7 linked regions of the Mus musculus genome follow. The protein of the gene in region 6 interacts with the protein of the main gene of each other region in a pairwise test. Links are inferred from orthologs where the notes say so. Each region holds a gene or a part of one and is shown on either strand. Other genes may lie near its edges. The genes, in order: Baz2b, Paf1, Scel, Rabac1, Zmat2, Fxr2 and Bysl.

The links.
Region 1: the proteins of Fxr2 (region 6) and Baz2b interact in binary tests that used the Homo sapiens proteins (3 or more experiments, as listed by UniProt). The two-hybrid records come from large-scale screens. The link is inferred for Mus musculus from reciprocal best matches to the Homo sapiens genes FXR2 and BAZ2B.
Region 2: the proteins of Fxr2 (region 6) and Paf1 interact in binary tests that used the Homo sapiens proteins (3 or more experiments, as listed by UniProt). The two-hybrid records come from large-scale screens. The link is inferred for Mus musculus from reciprocal best matches to the Homo sapiens genes FXR2 and PAF1.
Region 3: the proteins of Fxr2 (region 6) and Scel interact in binary tests that used the Homo sapiens proteins (3 or more experiments, as listed by UniProt). The two-hybrid records come from large-scale screens. The link is inferred for Mus musculus from reciprocal best matches to the Homo sapiens genes FXR2 and SCEL.
Region 4: the proteins of Fxr2 (region 6) and Rabac1 interact in binary tests that used the Homo sapiens proteins (3 or more experiments, as listed by UniProt). The two-hybrid records come from large-scale screens. The link is inferred for Mus musculus from reciprocal best matches to the Homo sapiens genes FXR2 and RABAC1.
Region 5: the proteins of Fxr2 (region 6) and Zmat2 interact in binary tests that used the Homo sapiens proteins (3 or more experiments, as listed by UniProt). The two-hybrid records come from large-scale screens. The link is inferred for Mus musculus from reciprocal best matches to the Homo sapiens genes FXR2 and ZMAT2.
Region 7: the proteins of Fxr2 (region 6) and Bysl interact in binary tests that used the Homo sapiens proteins (3 or more experiments, as listed by UniProt). The two-hybrid records come from large-scale screens. The link is inferred for Mus musculus from reciprocal best matches to the Homo sapiens genes FXR2 and BYSL.

What each region holds. Positions count from the first base shown.
Region 1 is NC_000068.7:59,912,741-59,916,240, reverse strand, and holds part of Baz2b (bromodomain adjacent to zinc finger domain protein 2B), read left to right. Parts: intron 1-2,045; coding exon 2,046-2,701; intron 2,702-3,235; coding exon 3,236-3,500. UniProt on the Homo sapiens protein: Regulatory subunit of the ATP-dependent BRF-1 and BRF-5 ISWI chromatin remodeling complexes, which form ordered nucleosome arrays on chromatin and facilitate access to DNA during DNA-templated processes such as DNA replication, transcription, and repair.
Region 2 is NC_000073.6:28,395,996-28,399,883, forward strand, and holds the end of Paf1 (RNA polymerase II-associated factor 1 homolog), read left to right. Parts: coding exon 1-62; intron 63-138; coding exon 139-207; intron 208-288; coding exon 289-392; intron 393-614; coding exon 615-731; intron 732-825; coding exon 826-954; intron 955-2,452; coding exon 2,453-2,558; intron 2,559-2,663; coding exon 2,664-2,754; intron 2,755-2,830; coding exon 2,831-3,255; 3' UTR 3,256-3,388; downstream 3,389-3,888. UniProt on the Homo sapiens protein: Component of the PAF1 complex (PAF1C) which has multiple functions during transcription by RNA polymerase II and is implicated in regulation of development and maintenance of embryonic stem cell pluripotency.
Region 3 is NC_000080.6:103,607,341-103,610,593, forward strand, and holds part of Scel (sciellin), read left to right. Parts: intron 1-760; coding exon 761-869; intron 870-3,253. UniProt on the Homo sapiens protein: May function in the assembly or regulation of proteins in the cornified envelope. The LIM domain may be involved in homotypic or heterotypic associations and may function to localize sciellin to the cornified envelope.
Region 4 is NC_000073.6:24,969,929-24,974,076, forward strand, and holds the start of Rabac1 (prenylated Rab acceptor protein 1), read right to left. Parts: upstream 2,801-4,148; 5' UTR 2,655-2,800; coding exon 2,599-2,654; intron 2,387-2,598; coding exon 2,174-2,386; intron 1,931-2,173; coding exon 1,833-1,930; intron 261-1,832; coding exon 159-260; intron 148-158; exon of another isoform or gene 82-147; coding exon 1-81. UniProt on the Homo sapiens protein: General Rab protein regulator required for vesicle formation from the Golgi complex. May control vesicle docking and fusion by mediating the action of Rab GTPases to the SNARE complexes.
Region 5 is NC_000084.6:36,792,628-36,796,722, forward strand, and holds the start of Zmat2 (zinc finger matrin-type protein 2), read left to right. Parts: upstream 1-1,295; 5' UTR 1,296-1,314; coding exon 1,315-1,332; intron 1,333-1,669; coding exon 1,670-1,763; intron 1,764-2,413; coding exon 2,414-2,537; intron 2,538-3,409; coding exon 3,410-3,483; intron 3,484-3,871; coding exon 3,872-4,017; intron 4,018-4,095. UniProt on the Homo sapiens protein: Involved in pre-mRNA splicing as a component of the spliceosome.
Region 6 is NC_000077.6:69,631,511-69,635,770, forward strand, and holds the start of Fxr2 (fragile X mental retardation syndrome-related protein 2), read left to right. Parts: upstream 1-1,460; 5' UTR 1,461-1,807; coding exon 1,808-1,888; intron 1,889-3,889; exon of another isoform or gene 3,890-4,009; intron 4,010-4,260. UniProt on the Homo sapiens protein: mRNA-binding protein that acts as a regulator of mRNAs translation and/or stability, and which is required for adult hippocampal neurogenesis. Specifically binds to AU-rich elements (AREs) in the 3'-UTR of target mRNAs.
Region 7 is NC_000083.6:47,608,693-47,612,801, reverse strand, and holds the start of Bysl (bystin), read left to right. Parts: upstream 1-1,309; 5' UTR 1,310-1,630; coding exon 1,631-1,895; intron 1,896-4,109. Other genes in the region: Gm20517 (predicted gene 20517), read right to left, coding at 1,110-1,123; Med20 (mediator of RNA polymerase II transcription subunit 20), read right to left, coding at 1,110-1,123. UniProt on the Homo sapiens protein: Required for processing of 20S pre-rRNA precursor and biogenesis of 40S ribosomal subunits. May be required for trophinin-dependent regulation of cell adhesion during implantation of human embryos.

The sequences.
Region 1 (3,500 bases), on a different chromosome or scaffold from region 6:
AGCTGCCCAGAAAAAGAATTAGCATGACCTATAGAATTCATTCCATTTCGAAGCTAAGTCAAGAGAAGGATGTGAGCGCTTTTAAATGTTTCCCAAGACCTGGTGACAAATGACACTCTGTGTCATGCAGATGATCACAACGAAGCTCCTGGCGCTTCTTGCCATGGGATGCTCTCACTAGAGCTTCAGAGAGAATTAAACACGCTCCACACTCTGAGGGGCTGAACCTAGGTGCCCAGTGCACGCCACAGCAGCGCTGGCTGTCAGCGCACTGTAGCTGCGGCCCCAACTCCATCCTCTAGTGCCATCACTGGGACATGTATTAACCCTTTATTTTATAGCAGCCCCGTGGTAAGGAGAGCTTATTGGCTTGAAGTCCACTGGACACACAAGGGGAGGACTAAAGGGGAGATCAGTGTGTTTAATGGTGAACTCTAAAGGAAGTATTCCAAGGTGAGTGAGAAGAAACAGCTCTTATAGACATGGAGGCCAAGAAATAGTAGATAGAACACTATCCTGCAAGAGATCAGAAAGCACAAAGGCCTGAAGGAAAGTCTTAACACACTGAGGAGCAGAAAGTGGGGAGAAAGGCCAGTGGTGTGGGGATTATAGGGGTTTTCACTCAGATCTTATAGAATGCTAAGGCCTTAGAAAGGACTTGGGATTTTATCCTCTATTGCAGAGGAGTTTACAGAATTCTATTTATACAGTACTACAAACCATAAGCAGCACACACATACACATATGTTGACACACATGTATACACACAATGTAAAATGGACATAAACAAATGTGTCTCCAAAGAAGCCATTCAAATGAGAAATAAATATGAAAAATGATGAACGCCAGAAGCTAGATACTAACTGGTATGTGTAACTTCGTTATACATACATAGAATTGATTAAACATGACTCCCACTGAGGGGAGGTAAGGGTGAGGGGACTGCACTCTACATGACTGAAGATTTTAACCGGAAAGTCTGTTACTTTTCTGATAGAATTATAGAAGAAATAATAAATCATAAAGAAGATAATTAGTCAACTAGTGATCAAATGTGATCCAGATTAGTTTTTTACCTCCTGGGCATTGGCAAGGAAAAAAATATTGACAGCATACAATTTTGTTGAGGATGTAGAAAACTAGCTACCCTTGTGTGCTTCTGGTACAAGTGTATTTGGGGTACAGTTGATCCAAGTATGCTTCAAGAACTGTTACAAGTATATAGCTTAAGTTGCATGTTTTAAAGAATTTGCCCAAGAAAATAGATATGAAAAATACAAAAAAAAATGAAAATACATATCATGTATTGTTAATAGTGGCAGTTACGCTCTGCCTAGTCTCTTGACAGGTCAGTCATGATGTCATCCATTTAGAATCATGTAGATGTAGTTATATATTTATTGATATTTCCAATTAATTTAATCAGCTAGTCTAGATCAGGTTCCCTTTTTCAGATTACATAGGCTGAGTGATTCATGGTGAACTCCTTGGAGTGTTATGTAGATCTAGTGGTTTTCACTCTGCAGATTTTGTTTTTAATGATTGAACCTTTGGGACAGGGTTATGTGTTGTATGTGTGTCTGTGCCATACACGTGGAAGGCAGAGGAGGACATTGGATGTCTTTCTTTACCTCTCTTGATTTTATTGTCTTCTGTTGGGGTCCCTGACTGAACGAGGAGCTGTTCTTGGCTGCAGGCTCCTAGGAGCTCTCTGCTCTGCCTTCCAACACTTGATTCCATACATGTGCAGTCATATATGCCCATTCTTTATGTGGGTGCTGGGATTCAAACTCAAGTCTTTGCAGTTGCACAGCAAACATTCCTACCCCCGCAAGCCATCTCCCTAGCCCCCATAGTTTAATCTTTATAGTGAATATATACTAAGTTTCTAATGAGTGAAAGAAATTCCATAGGAAAAAATGCAGAATATAAGATAATACAGGAGTTTGCTTCATATACATATGATTTGGTGAATAATACAGTTTAACTCCATTAGTGGTTTGTTGTGTAATAATTTTCTTTAATGGAATCTTTTACTTTTGTAGGCCTAGAAGAAATTGCAAAAGAAAAAGAAAAGCTTAAAAAGGCAGAGAGTCTCCAGATCAAAGAAGAAGTATTTGAGACTTCTGCGGAGACATTAAACTGTTCCATTAGAGATCACTGCGAGCAGAAAGACGACCCAAAAGAGAAAGATAACACAAATCTATTTCTTCAGAAACCAGGCTCTTTCTCCAAGTTAAGCAAGCTTTTAGAGGTAGCTAAAATGCCTCCTGAGTCAGATGTTATGACCCCCCCAAAAGTGAATGTTAGTACAAACGGGGGCCCACTGTCTCATCAGAACAGCGGGAAGCATCCACTGGGGAGCGTTCCCTCAGCAACAACAGCACAAAGCCCCGTGGGAAAGACAGACGCCAGTCTCTTTAGCTCAGGCTCCGGCAGTTGTGGGAAGTTCTACAGTCCTCTCCCCAATGACCAGCTGTTAAAAACACTGACTGAAAAGAACAGACAGTGGTTTAGCCTTTTGCCAAAAACACCTTGCGATGACACGTCCCTGACCCACGCTGACCTGTCCACCACTCTGGTGACTCCTCAGTCTCAGCCACCATCTAAGTCACCTTCGCCGGCCCCAGCTGCACTGCTCGGACCCTCTTCTGTTCAGAGCCCCCCTGGACTGAACCCGTTTGCTCTGTCGCCTCTTCAGGTTAGTGATGCTGACAAAACACACTGTGCCAGCACCTCACTGAACCCTTAGTGATCTTCACAGAGATCAAAGTTAAAATATCCTAACAGGCCTGAAATCCCAAGCAGCCAGGATTTCTGTCACCAAGCTTCATTGGCACCGCTATTGTCTAACCAGTGTCTAGGTTGACCTCAATATTCAGTTCATTACAGTTGCAGGATAGCAAACATGTAATTACTCTTCAGGAACAGATACAACATGAAAGTTAACATTGTTGCTAATGGATTTAGGTTTTCTCTGGTAAAAAGGTAAGAGTTTTAGAATTTGAAAAATAATTTCTAAACATTCCTCCAACTCTTTAGATGAATTGGTATTTGGTTTTTTAAATGTTTTTATTATTATGCAACATTTTTAAATGTTTTGTTATTATGTATCAGAGGGTAACTTGCAGGAGTTGGTTCTTTCCATCATGTGGGCCCCAGGGACATCAGGCCTAGTATTAGGTGCCCTTACCGACAGAACCCTAATCTGGGGTTGAAATGTTGTGTTTTACAGGTGAAAGGTGGTGTGTCTATGATGGGACTTCAGTTCTGTGGGTGGCCTGCTGGAGTGCTCGCTTCCAACGTCCCATTTACATCACCTTTGCCTGCTCTCGGCTCAGGGTTGGGACTGCCAGAAGGAAATGGCAGTAGTTCATTCTTGACTTCCAGTGTTGCTTCAAGTAAAAGTGACTCTCCAGTCCCTCCAGCTGAAAGACCCTCCAGCGCTCAGCCAGTGGCTGTTGAAGTAGCAAAGCCAGTAGATTTTCCTAGTCCCAAAC
Region 2 (3,888 bases), on a different chromosome or scaffold from region 6:
ACAAAGACAGGGACAGCCAAATCACAGCCATTGAAAAGACTTTTGAAGATGCCCAGAAATCGGTAATTGGGGGGAATAGAATAGAGGCAAGAGTGTGGCTCAGGGTCTTCCTCTTTCTCACCCTTTTTGTTCTATCAGATCTCCCAGCATTACAGCAAGCCCCGAGTGACACCAGTGGAGGTCATGCCTGTCTTCCCAGATTTTAAGGTCAGACTCAGGGAAAGAGGCGGGGGTTGCTACTTGTGCCTGTCCAGTCCTTACTAACTTTAGTATCTTTCTATTTCCCAGATGTGGATAAACCCATGTGCTCAGGTCATTTTTGACTCAGACCCAGCCCCCAAGGACACAAGTGGTGCAGCTGCATTAGAGATGATGTCTCAGGCCATGATCAGGTCTGTGGTCTTGCTTTCTACCTTGTGTGCTCCTTGCTGCCTCTCCCATGTTTGAGTATTTTTGAGATGGGTTATGATCCTGTTGTCCTGGCTGACCTCTAGGCTCCTTGCATTCCTCCTGCCTCAATCTCTGGAATGTTGAATGTATAGGCATGTGTCACCACACCTAGCTTTGTTACTTCTTTGCTTTTGACCTTTGTACCCTCTTCTCCCCCAAACCAGGGGCATGATGGATGAGGAAGGGAACCAGTTTGTGGCTTATTTTCTGCCTGTGGAAGAAACACTAAAGAAACGAAAGCGGGACCAAGAGGAAGAGATGGACTATGCACCAGATGATGTGTAAGTGGGTTAGGGTTAGGGTCAGGGTCAGGTTTTAGAATTCAGAAGTATGTCTCCTCCTCATGAATCAATGGGCTGTGTATCTTCTTCCCAGGTATGACTATAAGATTGCTCGGGAATACAACTGGAATGTGAAGAACAAGGCCAGTAAGGGCTATGAGGAGAACTATTTCTTCATCTTCAGAGAGGGTGACGGAGTTTACTACAATGAGCTGGAGACCAGGTACTCGGCACTGTTTCATGACTTTGGCCCTTTGTGGTCCCCCCCCCCCTTTTTTTTGAGACAGGGTTTCTTTGTGTAGCCCTGGCTGTCCTGGAACTCACTTTGTAGACCAGGCTGGCTTCGAACTCAGAGATCCGCCTGCCTCTGCCTCCCAAGTGCTGGGATTAAAGGTATGCACTACCACGCCCCCCTCTCCCCCCTTTAAAGACCATGCTAGGACAGCTACAGCGTACTTACATATAATAAATAAATAAATAAATCTAAAAAAAAAAAAAAAAAAAAAAAAAGAGAGCAGCAGGAGCCTGCTTATAAATGTAGGCTGGACCTGGCTGTGGTCTTAATGCCATAAACCAGAAAGAAAATTTTCACATAATGCAGGATATAAATCTAGTCATTTTTCTCACACATGATAGGCAAGTGCCCTCCTGTATGATACATTCCTAGTCTCAACAGTTTTTTTTTTTTTTTAAAAGATTTATTTTATTAATATATGTAAGTACACTGTAGCTGTCCTCAGACACTCCAGAAGAGGGAGTCAGATCTTGTTGCGGATGGTTGTGAGCCACCATGTGGTTGCTGGGATTTGAACTCTGGACCTTCGGAAGAGCAGTCGGGTGCTCTTACCCACTGAGCCATCTTACCAGCCCGTCTCAACAGTTTTAATAAGCTTTTTGTATGTGACATGTTTATGTTCATGCGTGCACATACTGGAGCCAGAGGTTGCAATCAGTTTTCCTTTGTTGCTTTTATTTTGTGTGCATGTATGCATATGTATATAGTCATATGCATGACCTGGCATGCACTTGGATGTTAGAGGATAACTTGGGGCAAGAGTTATTCTTTCCTGTTCCACCATGACACTTTACCAACAGAACCATCTCCTATACCCTTCAGCAGGTTTTAAATACTTGACACAACTTCAAAAGTGTGCCCTTGTTGTGTGACCTCAGAACCTTTCTCTGAGGGCTGAAAGCTAACTTGTCCTAGTGCCAGTGGTTCAATATGGCTCTGATCCTGTTGTCTGGCTGGAGATGTGAAAACAGGCAGTGGCATCACCTTTAGTGAGTACTACAATACAGCTGCAAGTCCACTGCTCTTCTATTTAAAATCCAGAAACACACGTTTGCCATTTTCTTGGTTTTATGCTTTGGATAAGAGGCCTTGGAAAATGACTTAGCAGTGATGAACACTGGCTGCTCTTCAGAAGACCTCAGCTTATATCCCAGTTCCCAAGAGATTCTGATGCTCTCTTGCGGCTTCTTGGGGTACTACAACACAACACACATACAGGCAAACCACCCATTCAATTAAAATCTTGAAACAAAAAAAACCCTGAAAACTTAAAAGTTGGGTAAGTCAAACCCGAAATACCATCTTTCACATCCACTGTATGTATACTTTGTCCTCTGTTATGTTCTGGGTCAAATATTGATAGGGAACCAGATGTTAGACTGGTCCTAGTGGAGCCCAACTCCCCTTCTGCAATTGTCCACTGCAGGGTCCGTCTAAGTAAGCGCCGGGCCAAGGCTGGGGTTCAGTCAGGTACCAATGCCTTGCTTGTCGTCAAACACCGTGACATGAATGAGAAGGAATTAGAAGCCCAGGTAAGCTGTACTGGCCCAGGATGCCCAAAGGGAGTCTAGTGGGTAAGGATGGCATCAGAGGTCTGATAGATTTCTTTCATCTTCTTCCCAATTTGCTGGTTTCAGGAGGCACGAAAGGCCCAGTTGGAAAACCACGAACCAGAGGAAGAGGAGGAGGAAGAGATGGAGGCTGAAGAGAAAGAAGCTGGGGGCTCAGGTAAAGGATTAGTCACATCCTGGGAGCCCTGGGAGGGTGGGCATTGGGATCTCACCAGTCCCCTACTTCCTCACAGATGAGGAACAGGAGAAGGGTAGCAGCAGTGAGAAAGAAGGCAGCGAGGATGAACACTCTGGAAGTGAGAGTGACCGAGAAGAGGGTGACAGAGATGAGGCAAGTGACAAGAGTGGCAGCGGTGAGGATGAAAGCAGTGAGGATGAAGCACGTGCTGCCCGGGACAAAGAGGAGATTTTTGGTAGTGATGCTGATTCAGAAGATGATGCTGACTCTGATGATGAGGACAGAGGGCAGGCCCACAGGGGCAGTGACAATGACTCGGACAGCGGCAGTGATGGTGGTGGCCAGAGGAGCCGCAGCCAGAGCAGGAGTCGTAGCCGGAGTGCCAGCCCCTTCCCCAGTGGCAGTGAGCACTCAGCTCAGGAAGATGGCAGTGAAGCAGCAGCCTCTGATTCCAGTGAGGCTGACAGTGACAGTGATTGAGCCTCAAGGCTTTCTAATGAGATCAGCACAGACACCATTTTTAGGGCAGGGAAGCACTTTTCTAGTTGTCTGTTTTGTGAGCTTTTGTCACTACCCCTCAATCTTTGCTGTTAATAAACCTAACTTCTCTTGACTTCATCTCCTAAAGTCTCTGTTCCCCTTCACATCATCTTGCCGCTGCCGCCCCCCTTCCCCCCCCCAAGAAGTACAAAATCAAGTCCCCATGGATTCCCAGGAAATGCATCATAAGAAAAATGAAGAGTCTTTTTGGTTATTTTGTTTTTGTTTTTTTTGTTTTCCAAAATAAGCCCAGACCATTAACAATCGAAACTTCAACAAATAAGTCTTTTCCAACAGCGAGAAAAATGTACAGTTACTCAAAGCTGATTCTGCCAGTGGGGCTGGGGACAGAAGTGGGTAGGGTAGGGTGAAACCATGGAGGGGCATGGGGGTGGGAGGGTCAGGGTCCTGCCTGTCAGAGCGAGGCCGCCTGCGTCCTGCACTCTGCTGTCAGATGGGTGGGAAGCTCTCACCTCCCTCTTGGGGAGGGTATCCCTCATCACCTTCCAGTGCCAGGCAGGGTCAGTCACCCTGATGGGAAGTGAACAAGACAAGACTGGACCGGCTTGTGGG
Region 3 (3,253 bases), on a different chromosome or scaffold from region 6:
ATGTATAGTCAGAGTCACTCAAATAGTTCTCTCAGTAGCATGGCAAGAGAATACAAGGATGCAGATCATGACAACATTAATGTATGCATGCACTGCATAAGTATTATGTATTTTCATTTCATTGCCCTTTCATGTATGCTATTCTGGATATTTTGGCCCTGCTTGCTAATAATGCTATAAAACCAGAAAAATCTACTGGGAGCTGTTTACAATTCTAAAACCTTTCAAAAGGAAAAGGGTCTTTATTTAAAGTCTGCCATGATTTCAGATTTTTGACTGTTGATCATATCTATAGTTCATTTATTGTTGAAGATTAAGTTTCTAAAATAAGTAAGAAAAACCACTTTTTTCCTCATCAATTTGTAGCAGGCTCCTTGTGAGTTTATAAACACATCCCCAAATTGAGTTCTATTTGGGGCCTATTGAATGTTTTCAGAAATGAAAATTTGCATCAATCTGCTGTCCAGTCTCCCTATGCAGTGTATAGAGAGATCTATGTAAACTCGTTAAAATGTTCTTCTAGCTTCAAGGAATGCTTCTGATTTAGTTTAACTGGGAAACTGAGCATCTTTTTCTGCCCTTGCTCTTGATGGCTGGTAAATGAATCATGTGAGGCTTTTCCTGTGTGTTGTTTCCTTGATGTTCTTACATCCTAAAACCCCATCAGTATCAACACAGTCTCGTGTGACTTTAGAGGGCACACACCTGTCCCTACGTGACGGCAAATTTTAAATGGTTTTTAATTCTATCGTCACTACAGGTCTGTCATTGAAAGAGACATGTGCACTTACTGCCGCAAGCCCTTGGGGGTGGAAACCAAGATGATTTTAGATGAATTACAGATCTGTTGCCATTCCACCTGCTTTAAGGTAAGTGCGTGCTCACTTCATGTTGGAGTGTGAGGAATGTGGCACAACGCCAAGGGAAATGCACCTACTGAAGTGCTTAGTGTGAAGCCAAAGCTTTAAACGCTCTGTGACCCACATCAATACCATGCTACTCATGTCCCTAGGTGCTCTGCAGCGTCACCCTCAAAGGTCTATAATTACTCCCTCGGTTTTAGGCTTAGAATCTGTCACTCACCCATCTCTTAGGAGACTTCGGTCTGTGGAAAAGATAAGCATTTGTCATTCTTAATTTTCTGTAACATTTTAATAAACTGTGTGTTGCATCATGTATGTAATGGAATCATACATAGACAGTAGACTGTTGAACATAAAGCTAGCTCTTGTCATGAGTTCAAGACTTCACAGCAATCTAAGCAGTGTGCTGTGGAACCCATGGTCCATTGTGGCTGAGCAAGTGGCAGACATGTTCAATGGCAAACACTTCCACGTTTCGCTTTGTTCAGCTCCTTCTCACCTGGGCTTGTGTGTTGTGTCTGTCCACACATGTCACATCTCAGTGCGACTGTGTGAGCTCTGTACTGGGTGTCTGAAGACCTCAGTTCAACCTCTGCCCTTCAGTATGGTGGCCGGTGCATTTGGGCAATCAGATGACCAAGCTTTGGTTTCCTTAGCTAGAAAATAGATCATTGACTGGGATTTGCTTCTCAACACTGGTTGCAAGTATAAAATCATAAAGACTGATTAAGAGAAAAAAAAGCCTTAGAATACTCAGACAGGAAATTTAAGATTGCAGAGATTATTTTCGGACACTAGTTGCTTTAGAGGCTCCTTAGATTTATCTCATGTGCATCCAATGTGAAAAGCCTAAGACCTTTAGATGCAAATTATTTATTTTAGCCAAATAGATGAACGACTGTGTCCATTGGTGGTTTATCCACCAGTTACCTAGCAATCAAAACCATGGTGCATTATTTTAATATAAAATCAGGTATCCAGGCCGGCAGGATGGCTCAGCATGTGTCTCACCTGAAGCCAATCTGAGGATCTAAGTCCTCATCATTAGAGACCGCATTCTGGAAGGAAAGAACGAAGTTGTTTACTGACTGTCTCTTGAGTCTCATGGCATATGTGATTCCAGTAAATAAATAAATAAACAAATAAATAAATAAATAGGCAAATGAAACCATAGCACAATATAGGATTATAAAAGTATAAGATGGATGGACCATCTAGAGACTGCCCTATCCAGGGATCCATCCCATAATCAGCCTCCAAATGCTGACACCATTGCATACACTAGCAAGATTTTGCTGAAAGGACCCTGATATAGCTGTCTCTGTGAGATTATGCCGGGGCCTAGCAAACACAGAAGTGGATGCTCACAGTCAGCTATTGGATGGAGCACAGCGCCCCCAATGGAGGAGCTAGAGAAAGTACCCAAGGAGCTAAAGGGGTCTGCAACCCTATGGGTGGAACAACAATATGAGCTAACCAGTACCCCCTGGAGCTCATGTCTCTAGCTGCATATGTAGCAGAAGATGACCTATTCGGCCATCAGTGGAAAGAGAGGCCCATTGGTCTTGCAAACTTTATATGCCTAAGTACAGGGGAATGCCAGGGCCAAGAAGTGGGAGTGGGTGGGTAGGGGAGTGGGGAGGGAGGGCATGGGGGACTTTTGGGATAGCATTGGAAATGTAAATGAAGAAAATATCTAATAAAAATAATGTAAAATAAAAAGAAAATGAAGCAATTGAATTGTTTAGTCATAAGATGAAAGTATTTCTAGTTGCAAAATATACTCCATTAAATAAACGTATATACCTTTAGATTTTTAAATTGGTATGCATAAAATTTTCTAAAATAGAAATTCTTCTGGTTATTGCTTTTGGTAAATAGGAATAACTTCCATTCATTGCATTTTATGTGATTCATTTCCATTTGACATATTAGAGACCATGACACTCAAAAATTACGCTCATGCTCAGAGAAAAAGACAAATTACTCTACAGCCAGTGCAACAGAAAACCACTTAAACTAGTTTAAATGTTTAATATAGGGATCAAAGACAATTTGCTTTAGTGATTCATCTTGAAAACCAACCAGTATTTTTAAACCTGGCCAATCAGCAGCCATGTCTAAGAAAAATGGAGGCCAACCTTCCCCTGCTCTGTAACTGGTACAACTCCTCACACCCTCCCGCATCCCTGTGTGACCAGCATTTTGTTTGGTTCGGCAGGTTGTGCCTGAGTCACACAGCTCTCCCTTGTGGAAACAAAGGATGAATACAAGTCCGTTTTATTGTTTGAGACATTAGTTGGTTATCTTGTCCTTGCCACAGCTGATTTGTAAACCATTCTTTTGGCTCCTTTGCATAGAGAACTTCTCTGGTGAAGCTCCCTGGACTA
Region 4 (4,148 bases), on a different chromosome or scaffold from region 6:
GTTCCATCTGCAGCTCCTCGCCATCTGCAGGCTCCATCTGGTGGAAGGCAGCGTGGGAGCCTATGAGTACCAGCGTGGCTCCTGTAGGGGGATGGGTGGTTCAGGCTGTGCTCTTTCGCCTGGCTCCCAGCCTCACCCTACACAGACCCTGTACTCACCCAGGACCCAGAAGACAGCAGAGCCAGCACCGGCCAGCCAGAAGAAGGGGAAAGAGACGCCACCAGCCAGGGCATACTGATGTGCTGGGCTCACCTCCCGGCCTGGGAACAGATGGTGTAAGGTAGCCGTTCCCACCCGACCCTTTCCCACAAGTGTCCAGGGTCACTTTCCACCCATCTAGTGTCACAGACTCTGGAACCTTCCATGTAATAATACAGACTCCTCACATCAGTGTCTCCCATACCTGGCCCCTACCCTGCCTCCCCAAAGCCCCCTGTCCCCATAACAACCTTCCTCTGCCCCACCTCTGCTGTCTAGCTTCACCTCTCCCAGGAGCCCTCAGGTCACTTCAGACTAGGGCCTGATGTTCCACCCTGGTCACCGGGAGTCTCAGGCTGGTGGCTCCACAGTCAAATCTGACCTAAGGATTTTTGTCCCCTTTTTTCCTTTGTTAAGATTTATTTCTTTGAATTGTGTGTATATGCCCTGCACGCATACGTGCCCAAGATCAGGTGCCCATGAGGAGGTGGCCATGGGCACCCACCTGACTTGGGTGCTTGGAACCAAACCAAGAACAGTACTCAACTGAGTACTCAACTGCTGAACCATCTCTCTAGGCACTTATTTTGATTTTTTTTTTTTTTTGACAGGGTTTCTCTGTGTAGCCCTGGCTGTCCTGGAACTCACTTTGTAGACCAGGCTGGCCTCAAACTCAGAAATCCGCCTGCCTCTGCCTCCCGAGTGCTGGGATCAAAGGCATGCGCCACCACCGCCCGGCTAGGCTTATCCTGAACTTGTAGCAATCCTCCTGTTTTAGCTTCCCAAGTGCTGGGATTAGAGGCACAGGCCAGCTTCTGGTTTTAAGGATGTGTTCTTTGATGCACCTTGCGAGAATTTGGTTTGTGGGGGCTGGAGAAGGTGACTCAGGAGTTAAAAGCACGTATTCTTCCAGAGGGCCCGCATTACACATTTTTTAAGGCTAGGGCATAGCAACACACTCTTTAAACCCTAGTACATATATATTAATTTCCTCCACCCCCGCCCCACGCTCTCCTATGCCTGAAAAGTGTGTATGTCCTAGTGACCACTACCTGCAGAAGCCAAGTTCTGACCTGCTTCAGTCTATTTCTTTGCCACAGCCTATCTTTGTTTGGTCCTTAAGCTTGCTGGGCTATGAAAGACTTATTTTAAGTCTCCTCGGAAACTTTTGGATTCCCCTCATTGGGTCTTCCCTGACACCTTTCTTTCCAGTGGTCCTGGTGACAGTCTGGGGCCACCGGACTTACAGATCTCAGCCTTCCCCTCTGAGAATCATCAGGGCCAAGACTTGGGAAGGAACACGGATCTAGGCCTGCATGAGGTCGCCACCTGGTGTGCAGTGTGGGTATCTGCAGCTGATGCGTTCCGTGGGGGGGGGGGGGGGGGGTTGAGTGGAATTGGATTAAGTCATTTACAAGAGACAGAGGTGCCAGGGCTTTGGGGTCTCTCTGGGTTTGGGAAGCTGAGACTGGAGGGGAGCACCTGGTGGGTCTAAGCCCTTAAAGACCAAGTTAAGTGACTCTAGTGGACAGCTCGGTGGGGGCCGTCTTGGGTCCCAACTATTCGGAAGTTTGCATTCCGTGAGACCACGATCAGAAAGGCCCGAGGAGCCATTTGGGCAGGAGATTTCTTACCAAAGAGTACAAGCTTAGACTGCAACGTGCGCAGATAGAGAATGTAACAGGCGCCAAAGAAGACAGCCAGAGCCACCAGCAGCATGGGAGATGTCACCCTGGAAGAGTGTGGGAGACAGGAGTTAGGTATCCGAGGCTGCGTCAGCCAGGCCCCTCTAGCTTTGGACACAGACTGAGGTTACGTCCTTCTAGGCCAGCGAAGGCCACATCCTGGTCAGGTGAATGCAGGAGTACAGACTGACCGGGTCCTGTAGTGACAAAGTGGGCTAACTGGTCTGGGCGGGGCCTGGCAGCCGGGGGCGGGGTCTGACTATCGAGGGCGGGGCCGCAGAGGCACTCACACGCAGTACAGGATGAGGCCGAGAAACACGAACACGTAGTTGCTTTGATAATACTCCACGTTGCGTACCAGGCGCTGGCAAAGCTCTCCCACATTGCGGGGTCGCGAGAAACGTTGCTGGTCCACGAAGGTGCCCCAGGGCCGGATGGTCGCCCGGCGCCGCTCCAGCCACTCTCGGCCTGCGCCGGATGGAATCAGCTTGGGCAGCAGGGTCCTAATGGGCAGGGCAGAGCAGAGCAGCTGAAGGGAGGGAGAGGGTAGAATCTGGACCCCAGATTCTAGCACACCTGGTCCCAAGCATGACCTTGAACCCCTAGGAGGAAGGGTCCTGAGAGGGAGCCAACAGGACTGAGTCCCTCCCAGGACCTCTGAGGAGATGAGGGACTCCTGCATCTCGGATCTGGGGGTAACACCCTGCTTGCTCACGTGGCGCTCAGCCCTTCCCCTTCGGCATCCTTCTGCTGGTCCTTCTGGGCCGCCATGTCTGCACTGCAGTGGATAGAACCGCTGTAAATAGCCCGGAGCCCAGCAGCACCTAGGCGGCCCCACCCCAGCCGGGACTCTTTGGAAGTGGCGTCGTTGGGAGCTCTAGAGGGCGGTAGTTGTTCCTCCAAGCATTGTGGGTGTTGTAGTCATCGTGGCGTCAAGAGGCAGGTTTGCCTCGCAAGACATCTTGGGAGATGTATGCTAAGAGCTCGTCGGGAGCCTCTAGGCATTGTGGGAATTGTAGTTTCAGGAGGCTCAGCGTGGACTACAGCAGGTGGACTGTCAGGACAGAGGATTTTGTGGGAGTTCGAATGGCAGAAACGTACTTCCGTGGACCGTGCAGAGCTGTCGTTCTGGCTCGAGAGAGCTTAATAAAACATTGTTCGAAAACTCAGATATTCTGATTCTAACTGGGCAAGTCTGGGAAAGAGTTCATTTACTTTTTCTTTCCTAAAAGTATTTACTTTGAAAGTGAGACAGGAGAGATGGCTTACTTGTTTCTCTTTCAAAGGATCATAGCTTGGTTCCCAGCATCCACACCCAGTGCTTCACAACTGCCCGAAACTCCAGCTCTAGCCAATCAGACATACTCATGTGCACATACCCACACTCAGATACACATGATTTAAAAATAAATGTTTGCATTTTAAAAGAAAAGATTTACTTTTATATGTTTATGCGTGTGTGCCACCAGAAGAGGGTTTTAGAGCTCCTGGAACTGGAGTTACAGGCAATTATGAGCTGTCTAGAAATCATGGGTGCTGGGAACGGAACTCCTCCGGGTTGGGATTTCAGTATGGGCCACTCAGCAGGAAATTGTGTCTGGGTTTCCCACTTGGGGTCCAGCATTGCTTCAGATCAGTGGAGGACTGCAAATGTACAGTTAGCCTAAAGACTAAAGAGGGACACCACAAGGCCAGAGTACTGGAAAAGACAGAGAACCTTGGAAACCAGTTTGGCGGCAAAAGTCAGCTGGGTTTGACTGCTATGGGAACCAATTCAGTTTCTTTAAGAGGACTAAGCAAATTCTTTCTATTTCATGACCCTCAAGTCTCTGCTGCCCTGGTGGGAGTCGGGGCTTCGGGAGAAGGCAGTGGAGAAGGCAGTGGGATCCAGAGGCAACACTGTTGCAGAAAGTGGCAAACTAATTCAAAGAATGTAAGAAATTTGAATACTGGGATTTTTAGGATAGGTGTCTGGAAGCTGGGAAAGGAGTCCTTTGGGACAGTGGAAGCGAGGACCCTGAGGTAGAGATGTGATGAGGCAGGGGGTACTTTCAGGTTCCTGAGGGAGGAGGCTCACGTTAGATGGGTTTTGAGTCAGTAGGTAGTAGGAGACATCCGAGAAGGCTGTGGGAGATGGGACTTGGCTCTGAGCTCTTTCCTGTGCTTCCCAGAGCAAGTGGCACTGGGAAAAAGCCAGAAGATATTAACAGGAACTCGAGACCTTGATCATAATGCCGGCTGCATGACTTCAAGGGGCCTCCCCCA
Region 5 (4,095 bases), on a different chromosome or scaffold from region 6:
GGGGAATCTCTTGAGTGTAGGGTCACTTGAATAAGAGTAAAGATTAAAACTAGCAGGACATAAGAGGGGTTTAATGTTTAGACAGCAGGTTGGATAGATGAAGAGGGTAAGATGCAGGGGGAATTTGGGGAACGCAGCCTCAAAGAGGGAGGTCTTTAGGGGAACACAGAAGGGCAGAGGTCCTGTGACTCTAGTAATATACCAAGGAATCTCTACAAAGAGATTTTCAGGCCAGCCAGGGCCAAATAGTGAGACCTTGTCTACAAACATACCACACCTATAATCCCTGTAATCCCTCTTAGAAAGTGGTGGCAATAAGTTCAGGCCAAAACTGAACTCTAATTTGCCTAGCAAACCGTATTTTAAAGACTAAAACACTTGTGACTGTAGATGCCCCATTCACCAGCATGTACTATGAATGTGGCTCTAAATTATGCACAGAAGACAAGTAGTTTTACATTGTCCCCTCCACCACTACTACCCCTGACCCCCACCACCACCCCTGCGCCGCCAAAAAAATTAGTGCTACTTTTTGGTTAAACTCATTTTGATGTCTGGAGAACATCTAAACTCATTTCATTTATACAGTACAATTTAATCTTGAAAACAGAATCAGCCAACACCCTAGAATGAAGCATTCGCCACTCTAACGAGTGCTTAAAATATGTTGTTTGTGGAAGAGGTTTGCTAGGCAGGAAATTGCCTAGCAGGGAACCTAGCTCAATTGGTAGAATTGAGCTTGATAGCATGAATGAAGCCTCTAGGACCACATGAACCGGTCGTGGTGGTACATGCCCCATAAATTCAGCACTTGGGAAGTAGAGGCAGGAGAGATCAGAAGTTCAAGATTAGAGACTATATAGCCAATTAGAGTTCAGTTTTGGCTACCTGAGAACCTGTCTTTAAAAAAAAAAAAAAAACCAAAACAACCAAAACTAGAAATCCGGTAAAAAACAAAACAAAACAAAGAAACCCCTAGAAATCAGGTAAAGTTGGTTAGATCATGGAGCACTATTTTCAAAACTCTGATTCTTTGCATAATAGAAGAGATGAGCTATTCTTCTGGGCTTGTTTTTAAAGCCAGAGAGAAAAACGTTGGCCCGTGCCCTTACTTCCGTGTAGCTTCACACTCCCTTTGCGCCTGCGCCATCTCCCTGGAGCAGAGGGCGGGGCCAACAGGACTGCCTTAGAATCGCTCCAGTCCTAACGCAGTCAGAATGAGAGGCTCGGATCTTATTGGAGCGTGATCTTGCCTTCTGGCTCCAGGGCGCGTTTTACTGCACTTTACGGCTTCCCATTCACTTCGCTGTGAAGATGGCGTCTGGCAGCGGGGTAGGTGTTGGTGTGACGAGGTTTGAGGGGTCTGGGGGATGGCTTTTCAGAGCTAAATAGAGACAGGCTGTGAGATTTGACTGACTTCCTGACACCTCTTCGCGATCTCAGGGTTCAGGTTCGAGAGCTCCCCCGTAAGGCCTTGGCGCAGGGACAGTGGAATCTCGGAAGTCTCTCGGGTTGGGGGTCCCGAGTCCACCAGACCCCTGGGCGTTCCAGAGAGACTTCTCTTCCGAAAGGTCCTGGGGCCGCCCCGGTGGCCGTTAGGCGGTTCCCTTAGTTTCTCCAGGGCAACAGGCACAGCTACGTATCTTGAGCACCTTTTCCCCCCCTACAGACAAAAAACTTGGACTTTCGCCGAAAGTGGGACAAAGATGAATATGAGAAGCTCGCGGAGAAGAGACTCACAGAGGAGAGAGAGAAGAAGGATGGTGGGTGCTCGCTCCACGAAGGGATAAGGGGACGGTAGAGATGATGCTGTGGCTAGAGAAGGAATGCCTCAGCAACAGGATAGATAAATCACTTGCAGTTAACGAGGCAAACAAAACAAAACAAAACAAAACAGAACAAAACAAAAGCCCTAAAGCTTTTTCCTCTCCTTTTTACGTGAGCTTCCCCTAGGCGTAGCCCATATTCCAAATCAAATCAAATCAAAACCTCCCAAACAAGCGTGTCCAGCTGCTTGGGTCTTAGTTGATTCCAGATGTAACTGCATGAAAACATTGAACATACGCTACTCGGTGTGAGTACCCCTCTTTTGAAAGGGTCACCTCCAGGAAAAATTCAGAACTCCTCAGTTCAACTAGACAACACATAGGAAACACTGTTTACATTTGCTGGCTTTAAAGGGAGAAAAGCTCTTGAGAGTTGGCAGTACCATTGCAAGTCTGAGGCCAGCTTGGTCCACATAGTGACCAGGCCTATGTCTATATAAGTCCAGGCCAATTAGAGTCTTTCCTAGCCTCTTTGAATTGCTACATAAAGTACCTGTTGTGTCCGTTCTTTGAGGAATTAAAAAGAAAAAAAAAAAAAGCATGAGTAGTCTTCTGAATTTTGGGGTTCATAATCTTTTTCCTTTCAGGGAAACCAGTGCAGCCTGTCAAGCGGGAGCTTCTGCGGCACAGGGATTACAAGGTGGACCTGGAGTCCAAGCTGGGGAAGACGATTGTTATCACCAAGACGACCCCACAGTCTGAAATGGGAGGGTGAGTTGCTTCCTGTCCGACTCTTAATACCACAGCTGGCCTAATAAACTGTATTGGTTTTTAGGAAGTGTTGAGGAGAATCCTGGGCCCAGGGATGGCCACCGTTCTGACCATAACCTGATTCTTTGTCTTTCTTTGTCCCCTGAAGTTTGTAGCCCACTCGGTCCTATTTCTAGGAGGGGTGGTTCTCTGGGCTTCTTCCTATTGGTACTGTAATACTTCCCTGATATCTTCAGGGGGGCTATATAGTCTGTTAGAAGACCTGAAGGCTCGGGGTGGGTTTTAGGTGGAGCTGTTAACTATAGTTTTTGTGCACCAAGATTGTGACCTATCGAAGAGTTTCACGGACCTTGTCACCCTTTGCCACCATTCCTTAAAGTCTGTCAAAGTTACAACTTACATCAGGAGACTCAGACAGATAGCAATCCACTGTTGTGATTCCTTTGCTGTGTACATTAAATAGTTAGCAGCATAACATAATAATAGCTCATAGTTTCTGTGGGCAAGGAATTGAGGGGTGGTCACCTTGGAGGTTCTGGACCTGGGTCTCTAATAAAGCCGCAGTTGTGGAATTGACTAGGTTTGCATTCGTTGGGGCTTAAATAAAGTTAGAAGGTCCTCTTCCAGGCCCTCCCGTGCCTGTGGTTCGGAGGCTCAAGTTTATTCTCTGGGCCTGCTTGTAAGGTCATTCACAATGAAGTGTAAAGAGGGACTTTCCCTAAAGCAAGTCATGTGAAGTTTGTCTGTTTTGTTAATTGAGACATTAATTAGACATCATCTAATTTTACCTAGAGATTTGAGTTTCTTTCCTGAAAACAGTAAGATCCTTAGAAACCAGATTGACCCATGTGCTGTTTCTTCCCATTTGTCAGCTACTACTGCAATGTCTGTGACTGTGTGGTGAAAGACTCCATTAACTTCCTGGACCACATTAATGGAAAGAAACGTAAGGCATGGAGGTAGTTGGTGGCTGGAGCTGGGTTGGGTTTTAAAGGTGTGCTGGAGGGCAGGTGTGGTAGAGTGGTTTTCTGGGGCCTTTCGTTTGTTCGTTTGTTTGCTTGCTTGCTTCTGAGTATCCCTGGCTGTGTGCTACCTGTGCATGACCACAGAGGCCAGAGGAGGACGTTGGCTGGCCTTGATGATAATCTGCCCAGTAAATAGGAGCAGGTGAGGCTGAGAGCTTCTTTTAGCCATAGTTATTTTTGTTGTGTACTTTATTATGAAAAGGTAAACAAGTAAACAAACCTAAAAAAGCCAGGGCGAGACTTTCCCGGGGGGGGGGGGGGTGGCTGAGGATGTTATAATGACTTGTCTCCGTTGTTAACCTCACCCAGATCAGCGAAACCTGGGTATGTCCATGCGCGTGGAACGCTCCACTCTGGATCAGGTAAAGAAGCGTTTTGAGGTGAACAAGAAGAAGATGGAAGAGAAGCAGAAAGATTATGATTTTGAGGAAAGGATGAAGGAGCTCAGAGAAGAGGTGAGGCTCTGCTAACCCTGCTCCCCAGCTTGGAGTGTTTTCCTTGTGGACCGAGGGTGGCCCTCTTCCTCCGCTCAC
Region 6 (4,260 bases):
ATCTCCCTTTCTTGGTCACAGAGCTCTGGTTCATCCCACTGTGGATTTGATAATCTCCCAGAGACACGTGGTCCTTCAAACTCCTGTACCATTGGGCCGCTATCAAGTTCTTCAAGTTTCTGATGGTGTCATCTGTGTTGCATTTAACCCTGACTTCCTTTCCAAGAAGGTTGTTGTTAGCAGCCTCAATCATTGTGGTGGCAGCTTAAATCTTGACGACACAACCTGTAGTTTGAACACTGATCCTATTTTATTTTGTTAAGTATTTATTTAATGTATATGAGTACACTATTGCTGTTTTCAAATACACCAGAATAGGGTACCAGTTCCCATTATAGATGATTGTGAGCCACCATGGGGTTGCTGGGAATTTAACTCAATACCTCTGGAAGAGTAGTCAGTGCTCTTAACCACTGAGCCATCTCTCCACCTCACACCCCTTATTTTTACAAAAAAAAAAAAAAAATCTGTTATACGTGTGGGTGACCACGAGTGATGTTATATGTATGATGTTCAGGAGACAACTTGCAGGAGGATATCTCCTTCCATTTTGTGGTCTAGGAATACAATTCCCGTTAAGCTTCGTATTCGAGCCATCTCTCTCTCTCTCTTTTGTTACTCCATGACAGTTTTTCCTGTATTGAATCCCCTCAGAATTTATGCATCAAGTTATGTGGCATTTTGTTTTTCATACGGCACTAAATTTACTAGAATACTAGTCAACTTAGGGCAAGCATGGTAATGACATGGCTGTAATTTTTGCACTTGGGAGGTGGAGGTTGGAGGACCTATTCAAGGTCATTCCCCCACTACCTAGTTAGTTCATGGTCAGCCTAGGACACAAGAGACCCTGTCTCACAAAACTTAAAAAAAAAAAAAAAAAAAAAAAAAAAAAAAGTCTACTTAAGCCAACAACAGTGACTCTTGATTCTCCTATGGATGCAGAGAGTCAACACATGCGCATGGACACCAAAGCCCAGCGCCTGCGCACTGGGCAGTTTTTGCCTTTTGGTTCCCCCCCCCCCCCCCTTTTTGGAGTGTGCGCACCAAGAAAGACAAAGGTGGTGAAAGTGACCAAGCAGTCATTCGGGCGCATGCCCATCCCTAAATTGCCCAGGCTCCATGGGGCTCACTTTGTGGAGGCGGAAGTCCAATCCGATGCAGCGAGCGCGGCCCCCCTCTCCCTTTGATTGGTTTGCTTCCAGTGTTGTGGGGCGGGGAAAGGAAGGGACAGGGACAGTGGAAGGTTGGAGTGGTACAGAGAGCGTTCGCCTCGTTCTGCGCAAGCGCAGAGAGGCGACCAGGAGGGGGCGTGAGAGAGTGCAAGAGAATGTGGAAGCCCTGACGCGCTGGCGAGCGGGAGCTGGGTCGCTAGCCTAGACGCCTGCGCCTTGGCCCTCCGGCTCCGCGCGCGGCGGGCGGGTGCCCTGTGCGCCTGCGCAGTAGGCGGCGGCAGCAGGGGGAGGTGGAGGCCGTGGAGCGGCAGCGGCGGGTCCCGGGACCGAGGCAGCAGCGGGGGCGCCGGCGGGCGGAAGCTGAGGTGACGAAGGCGGCGGCGGCGGCGGCGGCCGTTTCCCTCACGGTGGCGGAGACCAAGGCAGCGGCGGCGGCGGCGGACGGGGAGCGGCCCGGCCCCGGCCCCCTGCTCGTCGGCTGTAGCAGGGCCGCCGTGGGGCCGGCCCGGCTCCCGCCCCCCGCGGCTCCCCCTCCGGCTCCTCCTCCAGGGAGACGCCGGGGACCCGGCCCGGCCCGCACTCAGGGCTCTGTTTCAGCTGCTGCCGGGCCAGTCGGAGGTGGTGGCGGCGCCATGGGCGGCCTGGCCTCTGGGGGGGATGTGGAGCCGGGACTGCCCGTCGAGGTGCGGGGCTCCAACGGGGCCTTCTACAAGGTGAGACGGCGCGTCGACCCGGGCCACCCTCCTTAGCCCCCTCCCCCAGCCGAGGCAGGGAAGAGTGGAGCGGGATCGAGTTTCTGGAGCTTGGTCTTGACCCTTAGAACCTTCGACCCACGTTCCCACTCGAAACCCTCCCGTGGCGATCGTGGGAGTTAACCCTCGTGCTTTTATTTTGAGCTCGCTGTTACACCTGCTTTTATCAGCTGAAAACATGGCCATCAGGTCATTCCTGTGCGGGGATGGGAGCCCCGGGTCCCTTTGGAGAAAGCCCTTTTCCTAGCTTCTAATCGACTTTTCTTGTTTTTTTTTTTTTTTTTTTTTTTTTTTTTTTTTTTTTTTTTTAGTGTAGGCGATACTTCAGCTTTTAATCACATCACCCCTGCAGCCCAAGCACATGGAGGATTCGCATTCTTTTCCTACATGACCCCCTTGGGAAGGTCCACTGTCCCACATTAGGTCTTCAGGGAGCCTTCTGCCTACTGGCTCTAGACCATTTGCTCAACTTTTGGTCTTAAATTCCTGTTCCCAGGCTGACAAGAAATGGTCAAAACCCATCTGTGTTATTTAGCATTAGCATCTTTGGCCTCAGGTTTTTATCAGCCAGCCATAAAGTGGATTTGTTGGACAAGTTTGTCACCCACCACACCTATATTCCAAAATCACCTATGAGGGATGGATTCACGCTTATCTCTTTGACTCTAGATATATTTAGGTCATTCCTCTATCTTCTTGGTAAGTTTAAGCTTCACTGTCTCTCAAAGGCCATCTCAACAAGTTCTTATTCTAACAGATTTCTGCTTGTTGACAATCCTTCTGGAAAGAAAAAAAGTATCTTTCAGAATTGCTTCTTTAATCAGCTTTTTCTTTGCCTAAGATTTGATTCCTGTGAACTTTTTTAAGGGGTGTGGTTGGGACAAGATCCCCTCCCTGGCTGCACTTGAACTCTTCCTCAGCCTAGGATTACAGCTCTGGCGTTACTGGTTGAGCCACCATGCCAGACCAGACTTTTGTTTTTTCCTTCTTTCTATCCACCACCCACCCCATCTTCTGTATCTGTCCTGAGTCTATTCTGGATCCCACGCCCCAGATATTTTCTTCTTCTGATCAGTGGGGTTCTGAACATCTTTTGACTTTTATGAGTGGAATTGTCCCGGACACGTTTGGTCCCTCTCTTACTCTTCATCCTGGAGAGAAAGAGGAATTTCCATAGCATGAGATGGGTGAGAAGAGCCCCTTTTTCTTCAGGTTTCCTCAGGTTGTCTGTCCCCCTACCCTAGTAGAACTTCTACTTTCTTATGCCCTTGGAAATAACTTTCTCTGACTCTACTATGAAATTGTATCTTTTTTGTAGCTGAAAAAAGACTTAGGTTTGCCCTACCCCTGTAGATGGTTCCTACCCTCACTTCAACTGATATGCTAGTTATCCATTATAAAGGCCAGGCCATTTTTTTCCCTTTTCTGATCAAGTTCTTTACCCAGTGCCTATGGGTGCACATACCTATTAGCTTTAATGCAGCTTCTCAACTAAGTCTCGGTCTTTTTAGCTTGGTATTTCTGTATTCCTGTGTATCCTTGATGATGTCTACCTGTCTAGTCTGTGTATAGCTGAAGAAGGCTCCTAGCTGATTCTGTCACTTTCCTAACTCTTGGTACTTTTTCTTCAGACCAGAACAGTGTCTCTAACATTTCTGTTTTCTGTAGCAAAAGTCTTTAATTCTTTTGGCTTCTGAGAGGACACATTAATGTTTTAATATCTATTTCACCCACATTTGTATTACCTTTGTTAAAACAGTCTCCTCAGGCTGGGTATGGTGGTACATACTCTAACCCTAGTACTTAGAAGGCTAAAGTAGGATTGTTGAAGTTCAAAACCAGCATGGGGAATGGAATCCAGTCTAAAACAACCCAAACAAACCCAAAAAGTACTCTTTATTATGCTCTCTTTTCCTCGATATGTTAGTCTTCATCTGTATCCTTCTAACATCAAAATGTTAAAAATTCCAAAAAAGCTGTGTGTAGGTGTGTGTGTGTATATACATACATACACACACACACACCTACACACACACCCACCCCCGTTCGATTTCTGGGTACAGGATTTCTCTATGTAGCCGTGGCTGCCCTGAACTCAAACTCTGTGGGATAGGTCTGCCTTTGTTGAGTGCTGGGATTAAAAGCATCCACAACTACTCTTAGTTTGAAAAGTGGTTCTTAAATTGAGTATGAGATCAAGATAAGATATTTGCATTTGGTTTAAGGAAGCTCAGGAGCCATGCACAGCTGGGACAGATGAGTGCTCAGTTCCAATTAACTGTATGACATGGTTGGGCTGGGACATGAATTCTGTTACACATATGGGTATCCAA
Region 7 (4,109 bases), on a different chromosome or scaffold from region 6:
GACCAGGCTGGCCTGGAATTCACAGAAACTTGCCTGACTCTGCCTCCCAAATGTTGGAATCAAAGGCATCAGCCCTCAGATGGATTGCCTGACTCTTCCAAAGGCCCCAGGAAAGGCCCTGTCCTGTATCAACTTACTGCAAACAGGGAAACTGAACTCTAAATGACTCTGCTGTGATCTGTCTTCATTGCTCACAGGCATTCTTTACAGTAGGGTAGAAGTATGAGATGAGGCTCCTAGTGTCAACTGTGGCAAGAGCCTTCCTTTCACAGGGCAGACCTGTGGCCCCTGGCCTCCAAGCTTCTTTAACTGGAAAGAAGCACACCACTACCAAGACTTTTAAGTGCTGAGGCCGAGTACTTTAAAATTAATACCCAGAAAAGCACGGTGCCCAAACCTTACCAACTGCCTTTTTATCAAGTGAGACTTCAAACATGTTTAAGATAAAAGTCAATCAAAACTGTCTGAAGCCCAGGCGATGGTGGCTCGCGTCCGTTTCATCCGTGCGCTTGAGAGGCAGAGAGAGGCAGGTGGATCTCTGTGAATTCGAGTCCAGCCTGTTCTACAGAGTGAGTTCCGGGCCTCCCAAGCCTACACAGTGAGACACCCAGCTCGAAAAATTGTCTCTGCCTGGTACTCCGAACTCCAAACTCCCAACCGCTCCTTTCCTCCTACCTCTGTCACTAGCCCCAACACCTTAAAATGGCCAATTCAAAGTCTGTAACTGCAAGCAAAATAGAAAAGTCACTTTCTCCTCGCGCCACTCTTATCCCTTTCTGCGAACAACTCCTAATCTAGAAACCCTATTTCTAACCTTTGGGTGCTAGTAGCGACACTACAAGGCCTCAAGGACAGGAAGAGGTACCAAGAAAAAGGTACAACTCCTGGCGGGTCCTAGGGATGCGCTGCTCCCTTTGCCAAAGGGGTGTGTCTGGGAAGAGAGAAGTCCCACGCAGTGTCCCCCATCCACACAACCGGAAGACATCTTGGTCAGCCCCCCGAGGAACCGAGAACCTCGGTCAAAATCCCTTTCCCCGGGCCATCACAGGCCCACAGACACCTTCACGACCCTATATGCTCCGTCACCACAGAAGCCCTTCAAGTCCTACCACGTCACTCCCATAGCGAAGGATCAAAAGGTGGCGCCTCCAAACCCTCGAACTCAGAGACTCCAGACCTTCACGCGAACGGCGGCCCCCTAAACACAGGAAGCAGTCGTTGATCGACCGCCGGAAATGCGCAAATACTGAGCGCCGCGGCGACACGCCCACAGGGAGCGCCATCTCTGGTACCCAGTGGTGACATTTCTAGAACGTCATCGACTCGGCTCCGCCCCCAAGGCGTCCAACGGGTTGACAGGACGCCCTAGGCTACTTTCATGAATTCTGGAAAAGGGTGACTTGGACATCCACCTTTCTAATGAGATTACCTGAGAATTTGGGGGCTCCTGCTATAGGTCCCGAAGCTCTTCCTGAGAGTAATAGATGAGGAACTTCCGGCCTCCTAACGCTGGGGGGCACTGTGATCTCTCAGTGGCCTCTTGGCGATCGGAACACACAGCGCAAGCGCAGTATCGGCTTTTTAGCCGGCTTCACACGTGTGAACCTGGTGGGCAATTTTTTCGGCCAAAATGCCCAAATTCAAGGTGACACGTGGGGCCAGCAATCGGGAGAAGCATGCACCTCTGGCCGAGCAGATCCTGGCTGGGAACGCAGTGCGCGCGGGGACCCGAGAAAAACGGCGGGGGCGTGAGGTCGAAGAGGAGGAAGAGTATGTGGGACCCCGGCTAAGCAGACGGATTTTGCAGCAAGCCAGACAACAGCAGGAGGAGCTCGAAACTGACCATGGGGCTGGTGATCGGTCAGCACCACCGCGAGAGCGCGCCACGCGGCTGGGTGAGTGACAAGGGGTGGAGTCGTGAGTTGGGCCGGTCTGACACCCCATCAGAATACTTTACCGGCGTGTTCCTCCACTTCCACTCCTGAATTCCAGAATTCAGAGTTAAGCCAACGAAAAGTGATCTCTCACACCAGTTCTAGCATTATTTTATTTTAGGTTTTTTTCGAGACAGGGTTTCTCTGTATAGCCCTGGCTGTCCTGGAACTCACTTTGTAGACCAGGCTGGCCTCGAACTCATAAAGCTGCCTGCCTCTGCCTCCCAAGTAAAGGCGGGTACCACCACCACCTGGTGGTCTAGCATTTATTTATTTATCCTCTGGGCGTTTGAAGTATTTGTGGACTGCCTGCATAATGTTTTGAGCTGTGTTAAGTTTTTAGGCAGTTTTGATACAGAAATAAGATATTCGTTCCTCCTGATAACACCGGAAGTCTAGCTCAAGGCACCCATTAAATAGAGTTACATATTCCAAGCAGGAGTGGCGAGGCTCACCTGTAATCCCAGCACTCGAGAAGCAAGGCAGAAGACCTTCTTGGCTATATAGTAAATTTCAGATTAACGAGCCCTGTCTCTCAAGAGAGAGGAAAAAAGTGATGATATTTCTATTTAAACAAAAAAGCAGATGAACATTAATTCTACATGGTGGGTATCCCAGATTTCATGTCCTTCGAATAAGACCTGAAAAGCAAGTGGGGACTGTCCCTGTCCCAGCGACAGGGGAGGGGAAACAGTATTGTTTACGGGCTAAAAGGGGGAAGAGGGGTGGGTACTGCCACCTGTCTCACTGGGGAGGAATTGTTGTTCACCTCCCAGTTGCTTAATCTTCCATTCTTATTTCTCCTAAAAAGCAATATTGACACATTTGAACATGGTTTTGGGCCTACAGCAGCTTTTTCTGTTTCTTTTAGTTTTTTTTAAAGTAAGGGCTCATGGAGCCTGGGATGGCATCTAATGCTGTAGGGGAGGCTGACCTTGAACTCCTGATCTTGCCTCTGTTTTCCATGTGGTGGCATGATAGGTGGGTGACACCACACCTGCCCTTAAAATAACTTTTTTTTTTTAACTCTGAGACTGAGTCTCGTTAAGTTGTTCAGGCTGGACTTGAACTTGCTGGGTGACCAAGACAAGGTTTGACGGTCCTTCTGTGGTGTCGTCAGGGAATTTCACTTTGAGGCCATTTGTTTGACAGCTACTTCCAGTTTTTTCTCCCTCAGAGTTCGTCCAAGAAAGCTCACATCTTTATATCCAGTGGTCTACCTGACATCTCCAAGTTGAATACTAGTATCTAACTCTAGTAAGATTGCGTCCAAGCAGGGCAGTGGTGGCGCACGCCTTTAATCCCAGCACTTACAAGGCAGAGGCAGGTGGATTTCTGAGTTCAAGGACAGCCTGGTCTACAAAGTGAGTTCCAGGACAGCCAAGGCTACCTAGAGAAGCCCTGTCTCGGAGAAGGAAAAAAAAAAATAAAAGAAGAAGATTGCATCTAAAACAGAAGTTGTGACTTCCTTCCCAAACTTGCTCTCTGTTTGCTACTTGGAGGTTGTTAGCACATTAGCTCCACTGCTCCAGTCAGAGTCCAGGCTTCCTCTTTCTCACTTCAAAGTAAATCCTGGTGATGTTGTCTTTAGAGTATTTCAGAGCCAGACCACTTTCCATTCACCTGAGACACTCCCTGATTAAGCTACCAGGGTCTCTCCCCTGGATCACTGTGGAAACATCGTGCTTTGAATTCTGTGACCTCTGTGGTCCATTCAGCAGCTAGAGATTGATGGCGTCCTGTCTGGTCTGTCTCTGTTTCAGGTCTGACCACAAGCTAGGGACAGGATAAGATAATGCTCACAGCTGGTGAGGTCCATGCTTTGAGAGAGCATGAGCCCTGACTTCCACTCACAGCAGCTTGTAGTTTCTGAGCTACAGTGTAGAAGACAGATCTCTTGGGCCTACTGGGCAACCAGTCTAGCCTAATCAGCTATCCCCAGGTCCCAGTCAAATCCTGTTTCAAAAACAAGGTCATCAGCTCCCAAGAGTCACTTCCATGATGCAGGGTTCACTCATATACAAAAAGCAAATGATCACAACAACAAAACACCACACAAATGTCAGTGACTGTCTCCTGATTTTCTCTCTTTTCCCTACGTCGTATTTCATAGCTCTTGTCTTCCTTTGTTTAACATGTATTTTGTGTGCATGTGCGTGGCATGATGTGTGTAGA